Linked DNA regions of Caenorhabditis elegans. The protein of the gene in region 1 interacts with the protein of each later gene in a pairwise test. Each region holds a gene or a part of one and is shown in the gene's direction. Other genes may lie near its edges. The genes, in order: wwp-1, dyn-1, ubc-18 and wbp-2.

What was found.
Region 2: the proteins of wwp-1 (region 1) and dyn-1 interact in binary tests that used the Caenorhabditis elegans proteins (3 or more experiments, as listed by UniProt).
Region 3: the proteins of wwp-1 (region 1) and ubc-18 interact in binary tests that used the Caenorhabditis elegans proteins (3 or more experiments, as listed by UniProt).
Region 4: the proteins of wwp-1 (region 1) and wbp-2 interact in a two-hybrid assay, tested with the Caenorhabditis elegans proteins (2 studies listed by BioGRID).

The regions. Positions count from the first base shown.
Region 1 is NC_003279.8:535,359-543,366, forward strand, and holds wwp-1 (E3 ubiquitin-protein ligase wwp-1), read left to right. Parts: upstream 1-1,763; 5' UTR 1,764-1,779; coding exon 1,780-1,885; intron 1,886-1,944; coding exon 1,945-2,202; intron 2,203-2,247; coding exon 2,248-2,477; intron 2,478-3,343; coding exon 3,344-3,553; intron 3,554-3,727; exon of another isoform or gene 3,728-3,884; intron 3,885-4,094; coding exon 4,095-4,369; intron 4,370-4,436; coding exon 4,437-4,650; intron 4,651-4,705; coding exon 4,706-5,026; intron 5,027-5,364; coding exon 5,365-5,625; intron 5,626-5,705; coding exon 5,706-5,927; intron 5,928-5,985; coding exon 5,986-6,273; 3' UTR 6,274-6,840; downstream 6,841-8,008. Other genes in the region: icd-2 (Nascent polypeptide-associated complex subunit alpha), read left to right, coding at 450-491, 541-948, 998-1,135. UniProt on the Caenorhabditis elegans protein: E3 ubiquitin-protein ligase which accepts ubiquitin from an E2 ubiquitin-conjugating enzyme in the form of a thioester and then directly transfers the ubiquitin to targeted substrates. Ubiquitinates klf-1.
Region 2 is NC_003284.9:15,566,798-15,573,631, forward strand, and holds dyn-1 (Dynamin), read left to right. Parts: upstream 1-2,123; coding exon 2,124-2,290; intron 2,291-2,355; coding exon 2,356-2,579; intron 2,580-2,760; coding exon 2,761-3,367; intron 3,368-3,412; coding exon 3,413-3,916; intron 3,917-3,963; coding exon 3,964-4,239; intron 4,240-4,773; coding exon 4,774-5,053; intron 5,054-5,157; coding exon 5,158-5,543; intron 5,544-5,716; coding exon of another isoform or gene 5,717-5,765; exon of another isoform or gene 5,766-5,798; intron 5,799-6,079; coding exon 6,080-6,152; downstream 6,153-6,834.
Region 3 is NC_003281.10:7,067,186-7,071,172, reverse strand, and holds ubc-18 (Ubiquitin-conjugating enzyme E2 ubc-18), read left to right. Parts: upstream 1-2,602; 5' UTR 2,603-2,632; coding exon 2,633-2,659; intron 2,660-2,705; coding exon 2,706-2,801; intron 2,802-2,859; coding exon 2,860-3,046; intron 3,047-3,154; coding exon 3,155-3,306; 3' UTR 3,307-3,487; downstream 3,488-3,987. Other genes in the region: lin-37 (uncharacterized protein), read left to right, coding at 54-171; tmem-17 (transmembrane 17 domain-containing protein), read right to left, coding at 288-449, 517-639, 688-801, 854-892; R01H2.8 (uncharacterized protein), read right to left, coding at 1,613-1,699, 1,744-1,875, 1,915-2,070; ger-1 (GDP-L-fucose synthase), read left to right, coding at 3,733-3,789, 3,837-3,925, 3,971-3,987. UniProt on the Caenorhabditis elegans protein: Ubiquitin-conjugating enzyme E2. Accepts ubiquitin from the E1 complex and catalyzes its covalent attachment to other proteins. Required for diet restriction-mediated lifespan extension, probably acting as part of a complex with ubiquitin-protein ligase wwp-1.
Region 4 is NC_003280.10:9,327,595-9,332,503, forward strand, and holds wbp-2 (GRAM domain-containing protein), read left to right. Parts: upstream 1-2,179; coding exon 2,180-2,296; intron 2,297-2,392; coding exon 2,393-2,771; intron 2,772-3,271; coding exon 3,272-3,483; 3' UTR 3,484-3,933; downstream 3,934-4,909. Other genes in the region: eat-3 (Dynamin-like GTPase OPA1, mitochondrial), read left to right, coding at 1-623, 668-1,120, 1,174-1,441, 1,625-1,692; eif-3.F (Eukaryotic translation initiation factor 3 subunit F), read left to right, coding at 4,068-4,220, 4,650-4,909.

The DNA.
Region 1 (8,008 bases):
AATTTTGTTGAAAAGGCTGCTGCAAAAACTTTGCCAGCAAAAAATTTTGTGCAAGCACGCTCCATCGCACAGTTTGAACGTCGCGGGTCGAAGTTAGATGTGCAGGTCATATAGCAAAAAGAGAAACACCCCTTTTTTTCTCGAGAAGTTTCACCAATTTTGCGCGATTTTTCAACTATTTTTTTGCTTTTTTGGCTTAATTTTGGCTCAGATTTTCCTCAAAAACATGAAAATCCAATCTAGAATAAGTAGTAATGGGTATATTCTAAGATTGTGCAAAAGTTAGCTTGAATTTCCTCGATTAAAGCTTTCCTACCAAGAAAAATGTGTGGATATTTTGAATTTACAAGTTTTTCATCTTTTTTTTGTAATATTCTCTTTGAAACTCCTGTTTCTCTCAAATTTGTAAACTTTCATAAACGTTTTTTTCAGGGTTACCACATTAAACAATGACCGGAAGCACCGAAACTCGCCAGAAGGAAGTCAAGGAGGTTGGTTGTTCAAAGTGACGTCTAAAATATTTAAATTTCTATATTTCAGCCACAAGTTGACGTTTCGGATGATTCCGACAACGAGGCCGTCGAGCAAGAGCTCACCGAGGAGCAAAGACGTGTGGCCGAGGCTGCTGGACTTGGAGATCACATCGACAAGCAGGCCAAGCAAAGCCGCTCCGAGAAGAAGGCCCGCAAGCTCTTCTCCAAGCTCGGACTCAAGCAAGTGACTGGTGTCTCCCGTGTCTGCATTCGCAAGTCGAAGAACATCCTCTTCGTCATAAACAAGCCAGACGTGTTCAAGAGCCCAGGATCTGACACCTACATCATCTTCGGAGAAGCCAAGATCGAGGATCTCACCCAACACGCCCAGATGTCTGCTATTGAGAACTTGAAGCCAACTCGTGAGGCCCCACAACTCAAGACTGTCGAAGAGGACGAGAATGAGGATGTTGAGGTAATTCAGTAACTTAATCGGATTTATTACATTAATTGTACGGTTTAAGGAGGATTCCACCGGCATTGAGGAGAAGGACATCGAGCTTGTCATTTCCCAAGCCAACACCACCCGCAACAAGGCCATCAGGGCGCTTAAGGAAGCTGACAATGACATCGTCAATGCCATCATGAGCCTTACCATGTAGCTTGTTTCCTGATGACCTTGCAGATACTCTTGTTATCGTTGTATCTCTTGCTTATCCCGTTTTCCGTTCCAAGTAAACGTTTATCAGTCTTTTTTAACTTTTTTGTTATGTTTAAAAAACAATTGCATCTTCGAATTGACCTACCTTTTACAGAAAAGAACAATTAAATCACTGTTTGTGTAAAACACCCCTCTATTGATCGAGAACTTTCACTTCTTCCAATTCTTTACTCGTATGACTGTGATTCATTTCACCTGCTATCACTTTATCATGACATTCCAGTTTATATCAACAGCAAATACCAATTGTGTGTATGTGAAAAATGCTATTGAATAGCAAGCGCGCCCCAACAAACACGTTTGAATGCGCGGGCGAAACGGCGTTAGATGTGCAGGTCATATGACAAAACGCATCGACCAGCAGCCAATGGCAAGTTACTGCGAGCTGTTATAGATTTTTTCACATGGTTTCCAGTGTTATCAGTTGGAAATCGATCGATAATACTGACTAGTAGTACTTAACATCTTCATTCCCACCGTTTCGCTGTCATTTGTGATACGTGGATTTATTTTTCCTTTCTCGCCGACTTTTCATTTCTAAATCTTTTCTGGAATTGCGAAATTTTCAGCCAGTTTCATGATCGAATGGCTCGTAATGAACCATCATCTCAGCAGCCGAGTAGTTCCGGGAGTAATGGAACTCCAGCACAACAAAACGGGTCGGCAAAACCATCAAAAGTCACAGTAAAAGGTAACAATTCGTAGATTTTTTGCATCTGTTCTAATAATATTTCCCCCTCTTAATCATAGTCGTCAACGCGTCGTTCACCAAGGCAGCCGACTGCTATGTCGAAATCACGAGTGACACGTCATCGGCGGCGCCAAAAAAGACGACTGTAAAGAAGAAGACGATGGCGCCCGAGTGGAATGAACATCTCAACGTTCATGCAAATGAATCTTCGACAATTTCGTTTCGTCTATTGCAAAAAGCCAAGCTATTCGATGACACGTGTCTAGGGATGGCGAAGCTGAAGCTTTCGAGTCTCACAAGAAATGAGAATGGAGAGTGTAAGTGGTTTTATTGAAATTTTCTCAAAAAATCTATTATTTCAGTCAAAAACGACATCAACAATATATCTTTGCTGGCCAAAGACTCCTCGAAAATCGGAACTCTCAACATAATTTTCTCCGGATATCCAGAGCGGAAACGAAGAAGCGCAGGAGTACGAGCTGAAACCGCCGCGTCTGCAAGTTCAGAGGCATCCACGTCAAATGGCGTTGCCACGTCATCCTCGGCGCGGAGACCGGCGACAGCGAAGCGTGACACTTTGGCGGCTCCAACGGTAATCGTGACGAGACCCATTTTGAATTATTTAATTATTCATGAAACGCTCTACTGGAGTGTTCATAATTATTAGAGCGCGCTCGCGCGGCACCTCACGAACTCCAGAATTCGCGAGGACAGCAGTTTTTGGCTATTTTGGCTTCTATGGAAATTATTTTTAATTTTTTGATTTAAAATATTGTTGAGAAGCATCATCCAAATTGAAAATGTGTAAAATTATGAAATTTGACCGAAAACTGAAGGTTTTACAGAGAGGAGTCACCACGGCTTTCTTTAAAAAGTATCAGTACCGTCAGTATTTCGATTTCAGAGTCGTAAAATATGTCATTTTGTAGAGAAACGTCTGTTTCACAAAAATCCATGTTTGATATTTTAATTGTTTAATTTCTAATATAAAAATATTCAAAAAATCAACAAGTTTACGTTAAAATCGAATTTTTCAATCGTTCAGTTTTTAATAAGAACAATTTCATAATTTCAAACATGGATTTTTTTGAAACAGACTTTTCTCTACAAAATGACATATTTTACGACTCTGAAATCGAAAAAACTGACGGTACTGATACATTTTAAAGAAAGTCGTGGTGACTCCTCTCTGTAAACCTTCAGTTTTCGTTAAAAATAATTTCCATAGAAGCCAAAAATAGCCAAAAACTGCTGTCCCCGCGAAACGAAATCCCGCGAATTCTGGAGTTCGTGAGGTGCCGCGCGAGCGCGCTCTAATAATTATGAACACTAGAGGAGAGCGTGAATGAGCGTTTTTTATTCTTTTCTCTGCATTTTTAATGCTACAGAATCATACACAAAATGTTGTCAAATACATGCATTACTCTACTACTCTTAATGTTTACTTTTCATTTGCAGAGTACCGCAGCGGCGGCAGCAGCAGCAACAGCAGGCGGCACCCCGGCCGCCGGAGCAGAAGAACAGCTTCCCGATGGATGGGAGATGCGTTTCGATCAATACGGACGCAAGTACTACGTGGATCACACCACCAAGAGCACCACGTGGGAACGCCCGTCTACTCAGCCATTGCCACAGGGATGGGAAATGCGAAGAGATCCGAGAGGAAGAGTGAGTTTTCCGGCGGAAAAAGCAGATTTAGCACGAGAAAAGCGTTTCTGATTATATTTTTGATGCGAAAATCATCAAAATTAAAAATATCTACCGTAGCCGCGGATACCTGGACCAAAATGCCGAAAAAAGTGACCTGATAAATTATTTTAAGGCTAAAATCTTGATTTTTACATAATTAGTGTCTTATTTTTGTTGATTTCTTGTCAAATTTTTGTAATTGCATCGAAATAGGCCAAAAATAAAGTAAAAATCAACTTCCAACACAGAAAAACTGACAAAATTGAAGATTTTTGCTGAATTCAGGCAATTTTTCGTAATTTTGATCCTCCATAATTTTTTTTTTCGAGAAAATTTTGAAATTTTTTCTTTAAATACGGCCTGAAAATTAGGAAATTATAACGACGGATAAAAAATTCTGATTTTCTTTATTTTAACCAAGGTCTCCAATTATTTGATAATCGAAAAAAAAAAAACTTTCCAGTGATTTTTACTTGAAAAATGTCTAAAAATTCACGCCAGGTGCACAATCCATTTTCAGGTGTATTACGTGGATCACAACACGCGCACGACCACCTGGCAACGACCGACAGCCGATATGCTTGAAGCACACGAACAATGGCAATCGGGAAGAGATCAGGCGATGCTTCAATGGGAACAACGTTTCCTTCTCCAGCAGAACAACTTTAGCGCCGACGATCCACTCGGACCATTGCCCGAAGGATGGGAGAAGCGTCAGGATCCGAATACGTCGAGAATGTACTTTGTGAATCATGTAAATAGAACGACACAATGGGAAGATCCGAGAACACAGGGGTATGTGAAAATTTTCAATTTTCCAATAATATTTCTATCAAAAATCACAGTTTTAATGTTTTAAAAGTTTCAGAGGCTCCGACCAACCTCTTCCGGATGGTTGGGAAATGCGATTCACCGAGCAAGGCGTTCCATTCTTCATCGATCACCAGTCTAAAACCACCACCTATAATGATCCAAGAACCGGAAAACCCGTCGGCCCGCTCGGCGTCGTCGGTGTTCAAATGGCCATGGAGAAGAGTTTCCGGTGGAAAATTGCACAATTCAGATATTTATGCTTGGTAAGGGAGGGCGAGAAATTCTTTGATTTTAGCTATAAATTGATGTAAATTTCAGTCAAACAGTGTGCCTAATCATGTCAAAATCACAGTATCCCGTAATAACGTGTTCGAAGACTCATTCCAAGAAATTATGCGTAAAAATGCAGTCGATCTACGCCGGCGGCTGTACATTCAATTCCGAGGCGAAGAGGGTCTCGACTATGGAGGTGTCGCCAGAGAATGGTTCTTCCTGCTGTCGCACGAAGTGTTGAATCCAATGTATTGCCTATTCATGTATGCTGGTAATAACAATTATAGTCTTCAAATCAATCCAGCTTCATTTGTTAACCCGGATCATCTTAAGTATTTCGAGTATATTGGACGATTCATTGCCATGGTGAGTGTTTTTTTTTAATTGAAAATCAGTTGAAAATTGGATGAAAAATTGCGAAATCGAGAGAAAATCGAGTTTTCCGCTTTTTACAATTGAATTTTAAAATTTTAAACGTTAAATTTTGCAGAAAATTCCAAAAAAAAGCACTTGGATCTAAAATTTTTGTTTTTTGATGAAGGAAATCCTTAAATATCGATTTTTTTTATTTTCAGCTCAAAAAACCTGGAAATTTCGATGATCTCAAATTTTCAGATCAATATATTTCATTTTCTCCTAAAAATGTTATTTTTATTTAAACAAATAGTTTTTCTTAGAAAATTCCTTTATTTTCAAATTTCCAGGCGCTATTCCACGGGAAATTCATCTACAGCGGTTTCACGATGCCATTCTACAAAAAGATGCTCAACAAGAAGATTGTTTTAAAGGACATTGAACAAGTCGATTCGGAAATTTATAATTCATTGATGTGGATCAAGGATAACAATATCGATGAATGCGATATGGAGCTCTATTTTGTTGCCGATTACGAGCTGCTCGGCGAGCTCAAGACTTATGAGCTTAAGGAGGGCGGTACAGAGATTGCTGTTACCGAGGAGAATAAGGTGAGATTTTGGATTAGCTAGAGCTTATAAAAATAATTTTTAAATAAAATAATTTAATTTAAAAAATCCCAATTTTCCAGCTTGAATACATCGAACTGCTCGTTGAGTGGCGCTTCAATCGCGGTGTCGAACAACAGACAAAAGCCTTCTTCACCGGCTTCAACTCGGTCTTCCCGTTGGAATGGATGCAGTATTTCGATGAAAGAGAGCTCGAGCTGTTGCTCTGCGGAATGCAGGACGTTGATGTGGACGATTGGCAGAGAAATACTGTCTACAGACATTATGCTCCACAGAGCAAGCAGGTAGGGGAGAACATTTGATTAAAACTTCTTTTTTTTTAATTAAAAAATACATTTATAGGTAACCTGGTTCTGGCAATGGGTTCGAAGTCTGGACCAAGAAAAACGTGCCCGGCTCCTACAATTCGTCACAGGAACGTGCCGTGTGCCAGTCGGTGGATTTTCCGAGCTGATGGGCTCGACGGGACCACAACTATTCTGTATCGAGCGTGTCGGCAAGGAGAACTGGCTCCCACGGTCGCATACGTGCTTCAATCGACTCGACTTGCCGCCATACAGAAGCTACGATCAGCTCGTCGAGAAGTTGAGCATGGCGATCGAGATGACGGAAGGATTTGGAAACGAGTAGTCTCCCGTTGTTTTTTTTTGGTTTTGCTGGCCGCCTAATTATTGTATAACCCTCATATTTCTTCTCACCCACACCCCATTGATTTTCCTTTTTTTTCTCTCCATCAATTAATGTTTCTTTTTTTCGAATTTGTGTGATAATTTTCGTGTTGTGATACCACTTGCTTAGGTTCTCTCTCTCTCTTTCCTTTCCTTCTGGGTATGTACCTATATTTAGAATATAGACAAAGCATCTAGTTTTTTTGGATTTAATTTCCAAATTTCCCGTTTAATTCCAACAACAAAAAAACAATTCCACCACTTTTCAAATATTTTTTTTGTGTCCATTGCTTCATTGCTTTTCTTCTTCTCAACCATTTCAACCACCACCACCCAATCTGCGCCTTATTCTTACTTGGTCCTTGTCATTCTTAGTTCCAGTTTTTTTCACGGAAGCAGCTCTCGATTATTAATTCAAATGCATCCCCCCAACCAATCCGTCACCCCCCGATTAGAACAATTTCTACTTTTTTTTTTGAAAACAAAAAAAAACACAATTCCTCGATTTGGTTGTAATGAATTTAATTTTTTAAATTTTGAGCCTTTTTTGTTGTTTTAGGTTTTCTTAACTTTCAGAATTTCCATGCGGAACACACGGAGAGCAGAAGATCAATATTTTGAACCCTGCAGGAGAAGGACGGGACCCTTTGGTCACTCATGTCTCGGCTGTCTGCGTCTCTCCTCTCTCTCTGCACCAGCGGAGAGGATGGATAGCCTCATTCGTTTTATTTCGGACTTTCGATTTTTCTTATTGCTCCACGTTTTAGCTTTTATCAGATTCGGGGAGCTCTTGCTTTTTTCTTGATTTTTTCGTAAAGTGTTCTTGGGTCCCGCAGCGAAAATTAACTTTAAAATGATTTTTTAAAAACTTTCTAAAAATTCATTTTTTTTTCCATTTTACGACTAGAAATTTCGAAATTTGAAAAAAAAAACCGTGTTGCAAATGCGCTCCAGCGTACAAAACAAAACCGCCACCAAAAAATTTAAATTACTGAAAAAAACGATGAAATTTTGAATTTGTTTTGCCATTTTCCGGCAATGATTTTTTAAATAAAAAAAACTGTACAACAAATGCGCTCCAGCGAACTAACCTTCAAATTACCGAAAAAAATTATAAAAATTTGAATATTTCCGATTAACCCAAGAAAAGAAAAATTCAATGATTTTCTTGAAAAAAGTTATTTTTTTCTCAATTTTTCGTCAATAATACTCAAAATTTGAAGAAAAATTGTGTAGCAAGCGCGCTCTAGCGAACCAAACAAAATGTCTCCATTGAAGCGTTTCACGAGGTTCTGGCCTACCTCATTGAATTTTTCGCGCTCCATTGACAATCGCCCGCCGATAACGCGTGGGAAAGTCGTGTACTCCACACGGACAAATACATTTAGTTTTACTACAAATATCGAGCCGCGACGCGACACGCAACGCGCCGTAAATCTACCCCAGATATGGCCGAGCCAAAATGGCCTAGTTCGGCAAAAACTCTTCCATTTCAATTCATGAGGGAAGCCAGAAATCCGTGATCCAAGTAAAAAAAATCCCAAAAATTTCAATTTGCAAGGGCGCTCCATTGAAAACTGTGGCGCCGATCGCAACTCACGGTCGAATTTGAATTTTTAGTTGAAAAAAAAACACCAATTTGAACTGAAAATTTGAATTTTCAATTTTTTCCCTAAAATAAATTGTTCAGAGTTTCG
Region 2 (6,834 bases), on another chromosome or scaffold:
AATATGTACATACGCGAAAAATGTGCGCGCGGGGGGGGGGGGCCCCTGCCGAGTAGCAGTGCGCAGCACACATACATAGCAGAATATCGACTAATCGAAAACGCCTCCTTCCTTTTTCTTTTTTCCTTCTTTCTGCTTCGTTTTTCTTTCTTTTTCTTATTCTTATTCTTCGTTTTCCGTTTTTGTTTTCTTTTTCTTCCTTGATATTCTCCTCAGCCTGCTTTGCTCGCTATGGAGTGAAGGGACAACAAAAAACTCAGCTGTTATTTATTCCATGTTCTGTTTTGCTTTACAATTAAAAAAATCAATTGAGCTATTTTGCTAGATTTTCAATACTTTTAAACCATGTTTTATAAATGTTTTATAAATTTCAGAGCATATGAAATCATTGTACATCAACTGATTAGTCACAAATTCATTATCAGGAGTAGTATGGGAATGTTAAATTCGTTATTTGTTTACACACCGCTGGTTCTTAGTAAAATTTTCTAATAGGAAGTAACTGGAATTTGTTTGGAAACCTACAAATCTGTTAATTTCGGAATTAATATCCAAGTTTCCAAATTAGCAGAAATAAAATTTTGAAGTAATATCTGGTTGAAATGTTGTGTTTCTGCTATAAAACTTGAAAAGAAACCTTGAATCCTGCTAGAGAATCGCCTTTGGTCAGAAAATCGAACATCAGTTTTTACTGCAAGTGACAATTTTCAGGGAGTATTTGAAGCCGTTATTTTTAATCCCAACTTTTTAAATGAAAATGAGTATATTTTTCATATTTATGATATGCATATATATATGTTCAATCTATCTGTGTTAGAGCTTGATGATTATTTCGAATCGGGCGGGTTTAAAGATCTGCCAAAAAAATTTGCAGTACTACCCTGTCTTGAAAAAAAAAGAAGAAAAACTGTGATACAATTTAACAATCATGAACATACGACAATTCTCTACAAATTATAATATCATAATGAATTCCATATTTTGTTTAAACAAATTGGACTAAATGAATTTCCTCGTCTCTAATAAACAAATAGAACGTGGAAAAACCTTCTTACTAATCATGATTTCTGGTCACAATTGTGACTCGATATTTGCTAAGATGACGATTTTTCTTTTCTTCCTACGGTACTGATCGGACTGTTGTAAAAGTTTCACAATTTTGAAATATTTTATTTTATTTTTATTTTGCATAATTTCCAAAGGTCATCCATCTCATTTCCATTCTCAATAAAAAAAATTTTTAAAGTCTGCCTCTTTTTATTAAAGAAACGATGTTATTTGCTCACTAACTTCCATTCACACGTTTCCAGCGAGATAGCAGGTAAGTTGAGAGACGCAGGTGGTTAGACTACAAACAGAAGGGTGGCCGGCTGCCACCCTCTCCACACCACTATTTCACAACATTTACAATGAATTGATCTACCCGCCAAATTCTGGTTTTCGGCAATCCAAAACTGTTCGCTTTGTTTTCCACTTTTTCATTTTTCATTTCTCCTCCACTACTTATTTGGATTTTCTTTTTCAAATGTGTCCCGTTTAGTTTTTTTTTGCATCTAACAACCTTCTGTTTTTTTCCAATATTTTCATTAAACAAGCCTCCAAATTCTTCATAAAATTCCTCGTGAAAAGAAATTTCTTGTCGTGGTTACTGCTGACGCGTTTTGCGATGAGTGTGTGTTGGCACGCTCTCCGCCGTCGCTGGCCAAGCCTTTTTCTCTCCCCGCCGCAGTACTGACTGCGAGGCTGACTCACTGCGGTCATTTCGTTTGCCTCACCCTCACTTTTAGTCTCTGCATCTCCGAGTCTCTCCGCGCTTTTTTGTACGCCGATCGTTTCTTCTTCTTGTTTTCCAAACATTCAACACCGTTTTGCCGACAATGATTCTGAATATTTGTTGATTTTGTTTTTTCAAATGCGATTTGAGGATTTTTTTTTCTAATTTTATATTCTATATTCTTGAAGGTGATAAATTTCATTCTAAAACATAATTATTAAACCTCCGAAAACCTCATTGCGAAATCGTGCTTTTTCCATTAAATCTTCTCAATGCTCTTCCTCATATCATTAATCGACTAAAAAAATCGATTTTCAGGTAGTTCAGCGTATAACCACCAGGATCAGCCATGTCGTGGCAAAACCAGGGAATGCAGGCGTTGATCCCTGTGATCAATCGTGTCCAGGACGCCTTCTCCCAGCTGGGCACATCTGTCAGCTTCGAACTTCCACAGATCGCCGTCGTCGGAGGACAGTCCGCTGGAAAGTCGTCGGTGCTGGAGAATTTTGTCGGAAAGTGAGTCACAAGAAGAAAAAAAACATAACTTTGCGAAATAAAATCACAATTTTTTTCCTTTCCAGAGACTTCTTGCCACGTGGATCAGGAATCGTAACACGTCGTCCACTTATTTTGCAGCTTATTCAAGATCGCAATGAGTACGCCGAGTTCCTACACAAGAAGGGTCATCGCTTTGTGGATTTTGATGCAGTTCGGAAAGAGATTGAGGATGAGACTGATCGTGTCACTGGACAGAATAAGGGAATCAGTCCACATCCAATCAACTTGCGTGTCTTTTCTCCAAATGGTAAGCATTTAGAAACTCACAGAAACGCAAGTGCGCTGGATGATTTGAGCATCTGAAACCAGACTTATGCAACTTTTTTTAAAATTTAAATTGCATTAAAGATTTCATAAATTTACAGTGAGTTGCACAAAATCACTGGAAAAATTCACACATTTTAATTAATTCATACTTAATTTTTCAGTTCTAAATCTGACACTCATCGATTTGCCCGGTCTCACAAAAGTGCCCGTCGGAGATCAACCAGCAGATATTGAGCAACAGATCCGTGACATGATTCTCACATTCATCAACCGTGAGACTTGCCTCATTCTTGCCGTCACTCCGGCCAACAGCGATCTCGCCACTTCGGATGCGTTGAAACTTGCGAAGGAAGTCGATCCACAGGGTCTTCGCACGATTGGAGTCCTCACCAAACTTGACTTGATGGACGAGGGAACCGATGCTCGCGAGATCCTCGAGAACAAGCTGTTCACACTTCGTCGTGGCTACGTCGGAGTTGTCAATCGTGGGCAGAAGGATATTGTCGGTCGCAAGGATATTAGAGCTGCTTTGGACGCCGAGAGAAAGTTCTTCATCTCACACCCATCCTACCGACATATGGCTGATCGGTTGGGAACAAGCTACCTTCAACACACTCTTAATCAACAGCTCACCAATCATATCCGTGATACACTGCCAACACTTCGTGATAGTCTTCAAAAGAAGATGTTTGCTATGGAAAAGGATGTGGCCGAGTACAAGAACTACCAGCCAAATGATCCAGGCCGCAAGACCAAGGCTCTTTTGCAGTAAGTGATTTCAATGGAGGTGCTTTATTAACAAAATTTTTGCAGAATGGTTACCCAGTTCAATGCTGACATTGAGCGCTCCATTGAAGGTTCCTCTGCAAAGCTGGTTTCAACCAATGAGCTCAGTGGAGGAGCCCGTATCAATCGGCTTTTCCATGAGCGTTTCCCATTTGAGATTGTTAAAATGGAAATTGACGAGAAAGAAATGCGCAAAGAAATCCAGTATGCCATCAGAAACATTCACGGTATCCGCGTCGGTCTCTTCACTCCGGATATGGCGTTTGAGGCAATTGCCAAAAAGCAAATCACCCGTCTGAAGGAGCCATCGTTGAAATGCGTTGATCTGGTGGTCAACGAGTTGGCTAATGTGATCAGACAGTGCGCTGACACTATGGCTAGATATCCACGTCTTCGTGACGAGCTGGAAAGAATCGTCGTCTCGCATATGCGTGAACGTGAGCAAATTGCCAAGCAGCAAATTGGGCTCATTGTTGACTACGAACTCGCTTATATGAACACAAACCATGAGGATTTCATTGGATTCAGCAAGTAGGAGTTTAGACTTTGCTTTTAGATGTTTAATTTTATTTTTTTAGTGCTGAAGCAAAAGCCTCCCAAGGACAATCAGCGAAGAAGAATCTTGGAAACCAGGTGATCAGAAAGGGCTGGCTCTCACTGAGCAACGTATCGTTTGTGCGTGGCTCCAAGGACAATTGGTTTGTGCTCATGTCGGACAGTTTGAGTTGGTACAAAGATGATGAGGAGAAGGAGAAGAAGTACATGCTCCCATTGGATGGTGTCAAGCTGAAGGATATTGAGGGTGGATTTATGTCTCGTAACCACAAGTTTGCTCTGTTCTACCCCGACGGAAAGTGAGTTACTCAAGAATTTTGCGATTTGATTGCCATTTCAACATTCCAAGAGCCCGCACGCTTTTCTTTCCACATTAGAGTTTCATTAGGCAGAAACACAGGAACACTAAATTGAGCATGAGTTTTGAAACGAGACAAAAAACGCACACACACACAAAATCAATTTTTTTTGAATATTTGTTTAAATTAAATTAATTTGCAGGAGGTGAGTGTATAGTTTACTTTCTTCACTTCTTCTTCTTCTTTAATGACTTGTAAGACAGAAAAACCTTTGTGTTGTCGTCCTTGTGATCTGTTTTCATTTTTTTTACCCGAAAAGTTTATCCACCTTGAAACCAACACCTTTCACTTCTGTAGTCAATTTCTTATTTTTCCTGTTTCTCTTTCTCTGCTGTGACAGTTTCAGTTCAGACAAAAAAAAATACAGCATGCAAAATGCTTTTTAGATAAAAGATTCTGAACCAGCATGAAGATGTAAACTCATGTATCCTTGACCTCACGCACTTGCTTCTCCCATAACCCTTTGAATTCCAGGAACATCTACAAGGATTACAAGCAGCTTGAGTTGGGATGCACCAATTTGGACGAAATTGATGCGTGGAAGGCTTCATTCTTGCGTGCTGGTGTCTATCCAGAAAAGCAGAAGGCACAGGAAGATGAGTCCCAACAAGAGATGGAGGATACCTCGATTGATCCACAACTTGAGAGACAGGTGGAGACAATCCGTAATTTGGTTGATTCCTACATGAGAATCATTACCAAGACAATTAAGGACCTGGTTCCAAAGGCGGTGATGCATTTGATTGTTAACCAGGTGAGGGATTTTAAAAGAATTGAATGATTCATCGTGATATCATCACGGCCTGTTTTTTTAACCGTACACAATAAACCTTAAACTAAATATCTCAATAATTTCAGACAGGTGAGTTCATGAAAGATGAACTTTTGGCCCATCTCTACCAATGCGGCGACACTGATGCTCTCATGGAGGAATCTCAAATAGAAGCCCAGAAGCGCGAGGAGATGCTCCGAATGTACCATGCTTGCAAGGAGGCGCTCCGCATTATCTCTGAAGTCAACATGAGCACCCTTGGCGACCAGCCGCCGCCATTGCCGATGTCTGACTACCGCCCACACCCATCTGGACCTTCACCGGTGCCGCGTCCGGCTCCTGCTCCACCAGGCGGACGTCAGGCCCCAATGCCACCACGCGGAGGACCCGGTGCCCCACCACCACCAGGCATGAGACCACCACCAGGTGCGCCAGGAGGCGGCGGTGGCATGTACCCACCGTTGATTCCAACGTAAGTTTATGCCTATTTTTTTTCGAAAAGAGCACCAGATCTCTTCTAATCTTTCCTATTTTGGTCCGTCATACTCTTTCTTCTGTCAAAATTTTTTTTCTGAAATTTAGAAAAAAAAATACTGTCAACAAGTCAGAATAAAACCTAAAACTAACGTGTACCAACCACTCTAGGCGTCCGGGACCAGGCGGCCCACCACCCAACATGGCACCGCCTAGATAATAATGTTGTGAATAATTCCCCCACTGACCAAAGGTTTGTTAATCGCGAAGAAGCAGTACAGAGAAGTGTATAATTGTTTGTTGTAATCGTGATGTGTATTAGCAGCATCTATCTAGTGTTGTGATCCCTTGGCACTTTATCGGAACATTTTTATATTCCACTATCTTCCTGTGATTTTTTCTACAGAAAGAAGCAAAAGCTAACTTTTCTTTCTCATCAAATTTTTCATAATTTCGTCATTATTTGCATGTTTCAATGGTGGTCTAGCTTTCTGTTGTTGTAGTATTAATCTGAAACGTTGTTTTTTTTTTCAGAAGAGTACCGACACCATCCAACGGAGCACCAGAGATTCCAGCTCGCCCGCAAGTCCCCAAGAGACCTTTCTAAATGCTTTTACATCTCCATCCTAGCTCACTTGTCATACTATTACCGTTCCCATAGTAATTGTACAATGCCCCCGTTTTATCAAGCATTTCTTTTTTTTTTTTGAGAATTTTTAAATTAATCAATATCCCGAGTTCTTCCACCTTTTGAGCAAGTCTCGTTGAGGATTGCATTGGTCCCAGCGCTAACTAGGCGTCAATTCATCCACCTCTCCATTCTCTCTCCCGTTCCAACTGTGTTTTTCTTTGTCAGCGGCGAATTTTCCACAACCAATCGAGTCCTATTTCTCTTTTTTTCCCCCACCTCCCAATAATTTTATTTGCATGTTTTATAAACTCACTTTGTTCAATAATTTATTGATTTTATTTTTTCTATGATTTGAAACTTTACATTTTTCCTACTCTTCTATAGCAATACTTTGTCACTTACAATAACCCCCCCCCCCCAGTCTGCCTATATTTATTTAGATGTTCTTTATGGCCACCCAATGTATAAACTCTTTTAGTGCATTTGTAGGTTCTTTCTTCATCCCACCCAATTCCCCCTCCACCACAAATCCCAGTTTTGATTATTTTAAGCCCATATTTATAAGAAGTAAATATATTTATAGATTTTTCTTAGATTATAAGCTCTTCTAGGTTTTCCCTCGTTGAGAAGAATGATCTGAAAAAGCCTAAATTATAGA
Region 3 (3,987 bases), on another chromosome or scaffold:
TGTGATCACTACTATTTCTTCAAAGTCAGAGAATCCAAAAAAAAAAATTTCAGTTGGTGTGCTCATCAACGTCGTCGGACTGCTCCCCATGCAAGAAGCATAGCATTAATCAACAAAATCTACCAGCCTGGAGAGTCGAAAACTGTCGAGCAAGCACTTGGTCTTATTTAAATATTCTAACATGTAATTTCAATTTATCTCTTACTTTCTGATCTTGCTATCACATGTCTCTTATTTCAAAAATCTCACTTTAAAATTCATATAAATAATGGGTTTATTCAAATACATCATCTTGACAATTGTTTTTTCAACGTTTTTCTTCCACTTTTTGGAGATTTTCCTGAAGTTTTCTCGAGCTCGTCAGCTACTTTTTCTTGTTGAATCTTGTTAATATATTTTGCAACTTCTCGTTCGGCAGTTTTCATCAAAGCTTCTATAGCGAATACAGTCTGAAATAGAAATATTTTGAGAATATTCAGATTTTTGAATTTTCACTTGAAATCCACTAAAAATCACAATCATTGTGTAGAAAACGTATTCAAGTGGGAGATTCAGAAAAGAGCCATTCACTGCCAAGAATACTGTAAGAGGAATTTGAATAATAATTGTAGTTATTAAGAATCCAAAAAGAGCTGACATCTGTAAACACTAGTGTCGATTTTCTGACTTGACTCATTCAAAACTTACATTTTCTGCCAAATTTCCATAAAATCCAAGTCCTAGCCGTACTCCTTCACTTCCCAAATGAACTAAACACGCAGAAAATGCAATTACTTGATACGTTAATGACAGCAGACTATGCTGAAATTCAAATAATGCTCTAAGTATGTTCCACTGTAATTTTTTTTTTTACCTTGAAGTATAATGATAAGCATAGATTAATCAAATGCATAGGATAGATGCATAAGTTGAAATATATTGCAATTTGAAGTGGAAAACTTGAGATTATTTCTGTAATAATTTTTTAAAAAAGTTGTGAAAAGTGGTTTTTAGAGATTCTCACCCAACTTAAATGGTTCTTGTGATAGATTTTCCATTTTTAATAGCACTAGGACCCCAAAGAGGTTACGAGGCGGTGGGCGGTTACTATGGAAACCAACCACAGAAAGGGAAATGGTGCTCCAATGTGGAGATGGAGATGGAAATGTGTAAAACGAATTGAGAAAATGTTAAGCTACAATTTCAGCTATTTCTTTATGAGCAAAATATAATTCGTCAAAACATGAACCTAAACTTTTAAAACAATGTTTCGCGAAAATTTTAACCATTGATTGTTCATAGTTTTTTTTTAAAATGATTTTATCCCTTCATTTAGCTCTGCAATCAGGCTCGTCTTAAATGTGGCATTACGTTCTCGGGTCTTGCCACGAGCTAAAATTTTCAGCTACCGGACTTGCTAATATTTTGCAACTTCACATTGAGGGTTTATTAACTTTATGATTTTAATTGTACATCTGTATATTTATTAGCAGATTATCGAAAAGAGTATATAATAATATTAGAAAATTCAGCGAAAATTGCAATCTACCGTACTGGCGGTTACTGTAGCGGAATGGTTAAAATCTTTGTAGTTTTCGTTAATACATAATGTTATTCATTCTATTTACAACAATTAAACAACACAGCAAACAAGATTTAATTTTTCGGGTCCCGGTCGGTCACAGCACGTTGTTATGAAGTTGAATCGTTGTTTTAAATGCTGAAAGTTTTGATTTTTCGTAGATCTTTCTACTGTAGACTCACTAATCTAGGACAACATCCATTAAGTAACTGACGTAAAGAGCATGAATTACATGGAATACACACGTTTATACATGAAAAGTCTGCCATTTTTGGAACGGGGTCTTGATAAATATTTAGGCGGAACCATTGAGGCTGAAATAAATCTTTTAGATTATTTGAGAAAAATCAAACCTTTAGACATCCTATCAAAATTGCTCCAATGACTGCTAACGCGAAAATTGTAAAAATTACAATCAAAAATATTAGAGTTACCAAGTTTTCTGCTTCCTTATCTAAATTAGTTTTTCCTAAATCAGTCAGAAAATCGTTCTGTAGTGTTGAACTCATTGGGAATCGAAAATCATTTTATTTGTGGACTCGTCACTTTTAAGCGTGTTGCCTAGGCAACGATTCGAGGTACATTGCTGAATAACAACTCGACACACTCGTAGCGCCTGATATTCGAGTTTATACATTAACTCGATGTACCCTGAATTTATATTCTCATTGTCTTTTAATCAATGCAGTGATTTAGTTTTATTTTTAGACATGTTTTTTGACAAAGATATTATCGTTTGAATCTGGCGCCAATTGTCTGTGCATTTCTGCGTTGCGGTGTTCTTGCGTACAAAGCATTAGATTTGCCGACAGTCAAATTTCATGCTGACAACCTGTTTTGGTCAATGATTTCATTATTTGTCACCATTTACCACTTTCAAAAACTTGTAAATTTTATTTTAAATCTACTAACTTCAAGAATCATGATGATCCTCTTGGAAGTCATACCAGTTCCAGCCGAAATCAATATATCCTTTGTTTGAACTCGTTTTGGCTTGTTTTTTAAATTTGTTAGGAAACTTCATAACATTTTATATTTCAGTGTTAACCCAACTAGAGCGTTTATATCAACATGTCAGCGACACGGCGTCTTCAGAAGGTGAGAAAATCATGTTTATTGTACAATTCACAATTCAAATGTTCAGGAACTCGGTGATCTCAAAAACTGTGGAGTGAAGGCGTACGAGAATGTTGAGTGCGAGGAGACAAATCTCTTGAAATGGACAGTTCTCCTTATCCCAGTAAGAACTTTGTTCACTAATAAAATAATTTTAATTTTCAATTAAATTTAATTTTCAGGATAAGGAGCCATACAACAAAGGTGCGTTCAAAGTTGGAATCACGTTCCCCGTTGACTACCCATTCAAGCCACCAAAGGTCGCGTTCGAGACCAAGATTTACCATCCAAATGTTGATGAGGAAGGAAAGTTCTGTCTTCCAATTGTGACAGCTGAAAACTGGAAGCCAGCTACCAAGACCGAGCAAGGTAGGCATATCATTTAATTTAACAAGGAACGGGGTAGTTTACATCGTAGAAATAGTTAAATTTAGTTAAAAAGTTATTCTGGCTTCTCTCAATATCGTAATTTTTCAGTGATGATGGCCTTGCTGTCACTGATCAACGAACCAGAACCATCCCATCCAATTCGTGCCGACGTTGCCGAGGAGTTCCAAAAGGATCACAAAAAGTTCATGAAGACCGCCGAGGAGCACACTCGAAAGCACGCCGAAAAGCGGCCTGAATAGGCGCCAAGAGCTCAGATCTAAATTCGTTCGATTTCGAGTTCATCTTATGTTTCTTTTCTGTATTTATCATATTCTCGTTTTCACCGTCCCAATCATTCAATCCACTTCAATTTCATCCAATTCCAACCTGATTTCCCACATCCAAAGCAAGAACTGAAATAAATCCTGAACCGGGTCTGGTAGATAAGCAGAAAATTGAATGATGTTGCCGATAACAACACGGCTGTGCATGCAAAACAACGAACGAATGTGTTGTATCTCCTGCGTCTCTACGTCCTCACGTCTCTCATTTAACGCGACGCGACTAAACGTGGCTTTTTCGATGCACCGGCGATTGCGCTTTTCCTCCAGTTTTTGCTACTTTTCTTCATGTTTCTGATCTATTTAGAGCGCTCAATTTAAATTAAATTCATTAATTTTCAGACAATGAAAACTATTCTAGTTACTGGAGGAACTGGCTTAGTTGGAAGCGCTATTAAAAAGGTAGAATATATCTGTTATAATCTAAAAATCTATAACCAAAAATTCAGGTAGTTGAAACTACTGAAAAGCGAGACGATGAGAAATGGGTCTTTATTGGAAGTAAAGATTGTGATTTGGAGAATTTAGAAGAGACTAGGTAAGAGTCGAGAGAAATTATATAAAATTTTATGGAAATCTTCAGGGAATTGTTTGAAAGTG
Region 4 (4,909 bases), on another chromosome or scaffold:
TTGGCTATTTCGGAGTTGTGACTGGAAGAGGAAACAGTTCGGATTCGATCGATGAAATTAGAAAGTATGAGGAGAATTTCTTCTCAACAAGCCAGTTACTACGGGATGGTGTTCTGAAACCATCGCAGATGACAACTCGAAACATGTCATTGGCAGTTTCAGATTGTTTTTGGAGAATGGTTCGGGATTCTATTGAAAGTCAAACTGATGCGTTTAGAGCAGCCAAATTTAATTTAGAAGCTGAATGGAAGAATCACTTTTTGAGAATACGACAACTAAATCGTGACGAGTTATATGACAAAGCAAGAGGAGAAATTCTGGATGAAATTGTGAATTTATCGTTAATCGGAGTTGAAGAATGGGAGAAACTACTTCAAGACAAACTATGGTCAGGAATATCTTCACATGTTTTTGATCAGATATTGATGCCTGCGTATGCTTCTTCAAGTTCCGGATCTTTCAACACAACAGTTGATATCAAGTTGAAACACTTTGCTGATAAGCAACTGGCTCAAAAGAGCATCGAAACCGGATGGGATACTTTGAAAGAAGTTTTCTTTAGACAAATTAATCAAGATGCCAGAACGAAAAAAGATCATGATCCAGTGTTTGATGCTTTAAAGGTAGTTTTTTTTGAATGATTAAAATTTAAATAATTTAATTCCAGGAAGCAGTAATCGAAGAAGCTATGCTGACGCACGGATGGGATGACAAAGCGATGGATTATCTCCGAGTAATTCAATTGAATGCAATGGAGGATCGTGCTGTTCAGGATAAACGATCATGGGATGCTGCATGCAATTTCCTTCACAAGGCTGCATCAGAACGTCTTGCAGCAGTGAAGAAGCAGCTTACTGACGACAGAGGACCGGGTTGGGCATCGAAATGGCTAATGTGGAAGACCCCAACTGCTGATAATCATTATTCATGTGTCATTCAGGACGAGCTTTACTCAATTTTAGGAGCAGATCCAGAGCACAAACAGGCGTTGACTGATGATGATATTACTGTAATCAGAAGAAATATTGAGACGAAAGGCGTACTTGAAGTTCCCACTGAATCGATTAGAAAACAATGGAAATTAGTATTTAAGAAGCACTTTTTGGAGAGGATAATTAATGTAAGTGTGACTGAAACATTTGAAATTAAATTTTTATAAAATATTTTCTGCAGAGCAGCAAGGACTGTCTATCGATGTATCAGATGTATCGTCAAGGAATGATTGAAGGACAAGATATCGATTGCCAAACCATCGTACTTTTCTACAGAATCCAAAAGATGGTCAACTTGACGTGTAACGCACTGCGGCAACAAATCACAAATACTGAACACAGAAGGCTGGAAAAAGAGATTAAGGAGGTGTTGGATGATTGGTCACAAGAGCCAGATATTAAAAAGAAATATTTGACGGGAAGACGTGTCGATCTTGCAGAAGAAATTCGTATGTTTTTTTCTGATCTTCAAATTTTTATTAATGAAAACCTGGATTTCTCATGCAAAGTTATACTTTTAAAATTCTTTAAATTCCAAATGTAATGTAAATTTTTATAATTGAGATTCCATTTTCAATTTCAAAATGTTGCGAAGTTTCATTCAAAACAAAATTATACATTCTCCATTTCAGAACAAGTTCGCCGAATCCAAGAGAAACTCGAAGAGTTCATGGCTCAATTACAACGTGAAAAAATCTGAAATCTCCTCGATGTTTGATCAGCTAAAACGATTTTCTTAGATTCTAGGTGTGTGCAATTGTTTGTTTGTTTGTTTGTTTCTAGTTCTATTATCACATAGACTCGAAAATAGGTTCTCTAAAACATGTAATTTTGTCACTTGTTTTTGTAAGTTTTCATCACGGCTTTTTGGTGCTTTTTTGCCATTTTATTTTATTTTTCCATCCTTTCATTGACACGAAAATGTATAGCTAGTCTTTTGCCTGCCCTCAATTTTTGATAGGTTATCTCAACTTTGAACCGGTTTTTTTGTTGTAAATATGATCTAGGTCTCTAATTATTGTGCTTTTTCCCCAATTTTATAATTTTTTAAAATTTAAACGAAGATTTTTCCCTAAACTAACATTTTCATTTGTTTTTTTTTCGTATTATGCTTCGGTTTTTCGATAGAAAATCCGCTTCTGGGTACCTTTTTTTATCCTGCTACCACTTGTTTAATTTATATTTAGATGTCCATCAACACGGCGAACACGCCGGACGGACTTGGTGTCCTACTGTATAATGGAGAAACCATCGTGATTTTTGCACAAGGAGTAGTAATGACACTAGGAACCAGTGAAAATGAGGTAATTTATTGCAGTATTTTTTTCATATCTTTTAAACACCAAAAATCTTCATTAGCACAAATGCTGAAAATTATAATCATATTTTCGAATTTATAGAATTTGGAAGGACGTCGAACGGGAACCATCTACCTCACATCACACAGAATCATTTTCATGCCAGACCCTGGAGATTGGCTGAAATCATTTGAAATTCCATTCAACAGTATGCAAGATGTTAACTTAAACCAGCCGATTTTCGGAGCCAACTACCTATGTGGAATCGCCTCGGCTGTTCAAGGAGGACAAATGCGCGGAGAGGTTAAATGGAGAATGACATTCAACAGAGGGGGATGTATTGAATTCGGGCAATCTCTATTGCAAGCAGTCGAAAGAGCTGTTCGAATGAGACCAGAGAATGCTCCACCTGCATATTCTCCACCAATTGGAGATTTCTACTCTGCACCGCCAGCTTATTATCAGCCGTCGCCGGATCAAGGTAAGATTTTTTGAACATTAAAAATAATCCTGAATTCGAAATTAAAATTACCTAAAAAATGTTAAGCGTAATCATTAGAGATTTGTATGAATTTGAACATTTTTCACTTTTTTGAAAAACGAAAAAAAAAGGAATCCAAGTTTGAAACATTTTTTAAAATTTTTTAAAGATTAATTTTTAAAAAAACGAGTTTTTTCTTTTTTTTTTCGATCACTTTTTGTTTAAGAGAGATTTTTTGCTAAAAATACCAAAAATCTTCAGTTCTGGTCAGACAGTTTTGCAAAAATGAAAACGTGCTCTAATGCAACTTTCTTCCACCTCGTTGCATTTTTGTTTCACAATTTTGTTGATTTTTGAATTGATTTTACCATCTTTCTTTGGATTTAATGGTTTTCTTATCAAATTCGTTAGAAAAATAATATTAAACCGCATTTAACTTTTTTTTTATTTTAAAATTATTCCCCGGTTAATCCGATTAATAATAGATTTCACATTTTCAGGACCAAATGGTTTCAATCCAACCACCGATTCGTTCCCAGATCAGCCGAACCCATCACGAGTTTTCATGAGCTCAGCACCACCACCATATCCAGGAATCGGACCAGAACGCGGCCCACATCCAACTGAAGAACTTCATGTTGCTGGACAATTTGAAGCACCACCAGCTTATGGTTCAGGAGAAACAGCCGATGGATTGAGGCGAAGAAATTAACTTGTAAATTTAACAACAAAAAATGACATTAGAGAAAGTGTTTAGTTCAAAATTATGGGGAAACACGTAGAAAACAAAGCCAATTTACCCATAATTTTTTTCCGCATCGAAAAATGATTCCAAATAAGCTCAGAAGTCTAGTTGCACACAAAAACTATCTAAAATTCCACCATTTATTTTTTGTTTTTTTTTTTAATTTTTGCACGTCTCTCTAAAAATCTCATGTGAATATAAGTAAAAGTTGTGATAAAACTATAAACTTTCGGTAGACTAAGTCTATGCCCTCTCTCTCTTGATGCCCCCTCTCGTTCCCAGGATAAAGTATATATGTATAAGTGGAATTATATCTCTTTCTCTGATTCACAGAACATTTATTTTATTTTCTCTTTTTTTTCGTTGAAAAACACAATTTTTCTTTTAATTGTAAATAAATAAATAATTTAAAATATTTATTAAGAACTTTATATTTTTTATTGATTTTTTCAAAACCATTTTTCAGTTTTCAGCTGAATTTACTATTTTGATTCAGATTATTTCTTTAATTTAGTTTTTTTTTCAATTACAGGGTTCAGAAAAAAGTCAATATGGCTTCGAATTTAACTGTCAATGTCCACCCGGGAGTCTACATGAATGTTGTCGACACTCATATGAGACGTACCAAGAGTTCTGCGAAAAATACAGGACAGGAAAAGTGCATGGGAACACTTATGGGATACTATGAGAAAGGATCGATTCAGGTAAAAATATTTATAATTACAGAAAAAAGAGCCTAATTTTTTGAAAAAACTGAAATTTTGCAAGCTTATTGGTGTCTGGAACTGTATTTAATCTAATTTTTTTAATTTTATGTAAATACCATCGACCGAAAAAGTATCTAAAACAACGAATAAAAACTCAAAATGACCGAATGCTCAAGTGCTCACACAAAAATATGCCAAAATTTTGAAAAAAGTATACTTTCAGCTAAAATCTTCAATTTTGCAAGCTTTCCCGTGTCACAAAGGTCGGAACTTAATAATATTCAATTATTACAATTTATTGCATTTTTGTGGAACTAGAAGCAAGTTCTGGCCGCTGTAACCCTGAAAAGTTTGCAAAATGGATGATTTTCGCTAATAATATTTTTTTTGGAATTCATGATATTTTCTCCAATTTTTATTTTCCAGGTCACAAATTGTTTCGCGATCCCTTTCAATGAGAGCAACGACGATTTGGAAATCGATGATCAATTCAATCAACAAATGATCTCTGCATTAAAGAAAACTTCTCCAAATGAGCAACCAGTTGGATGGTTCCTTACAACATCTGACATTACTTCTTCGTGTCTCATCTATCACGACTACTATGTACGTGTCATCACTGAAGCATCGGCTCGTCGTGAATCTCCACCAATTGTCGTTTTGACAATTGACACGACTTTCTCTGG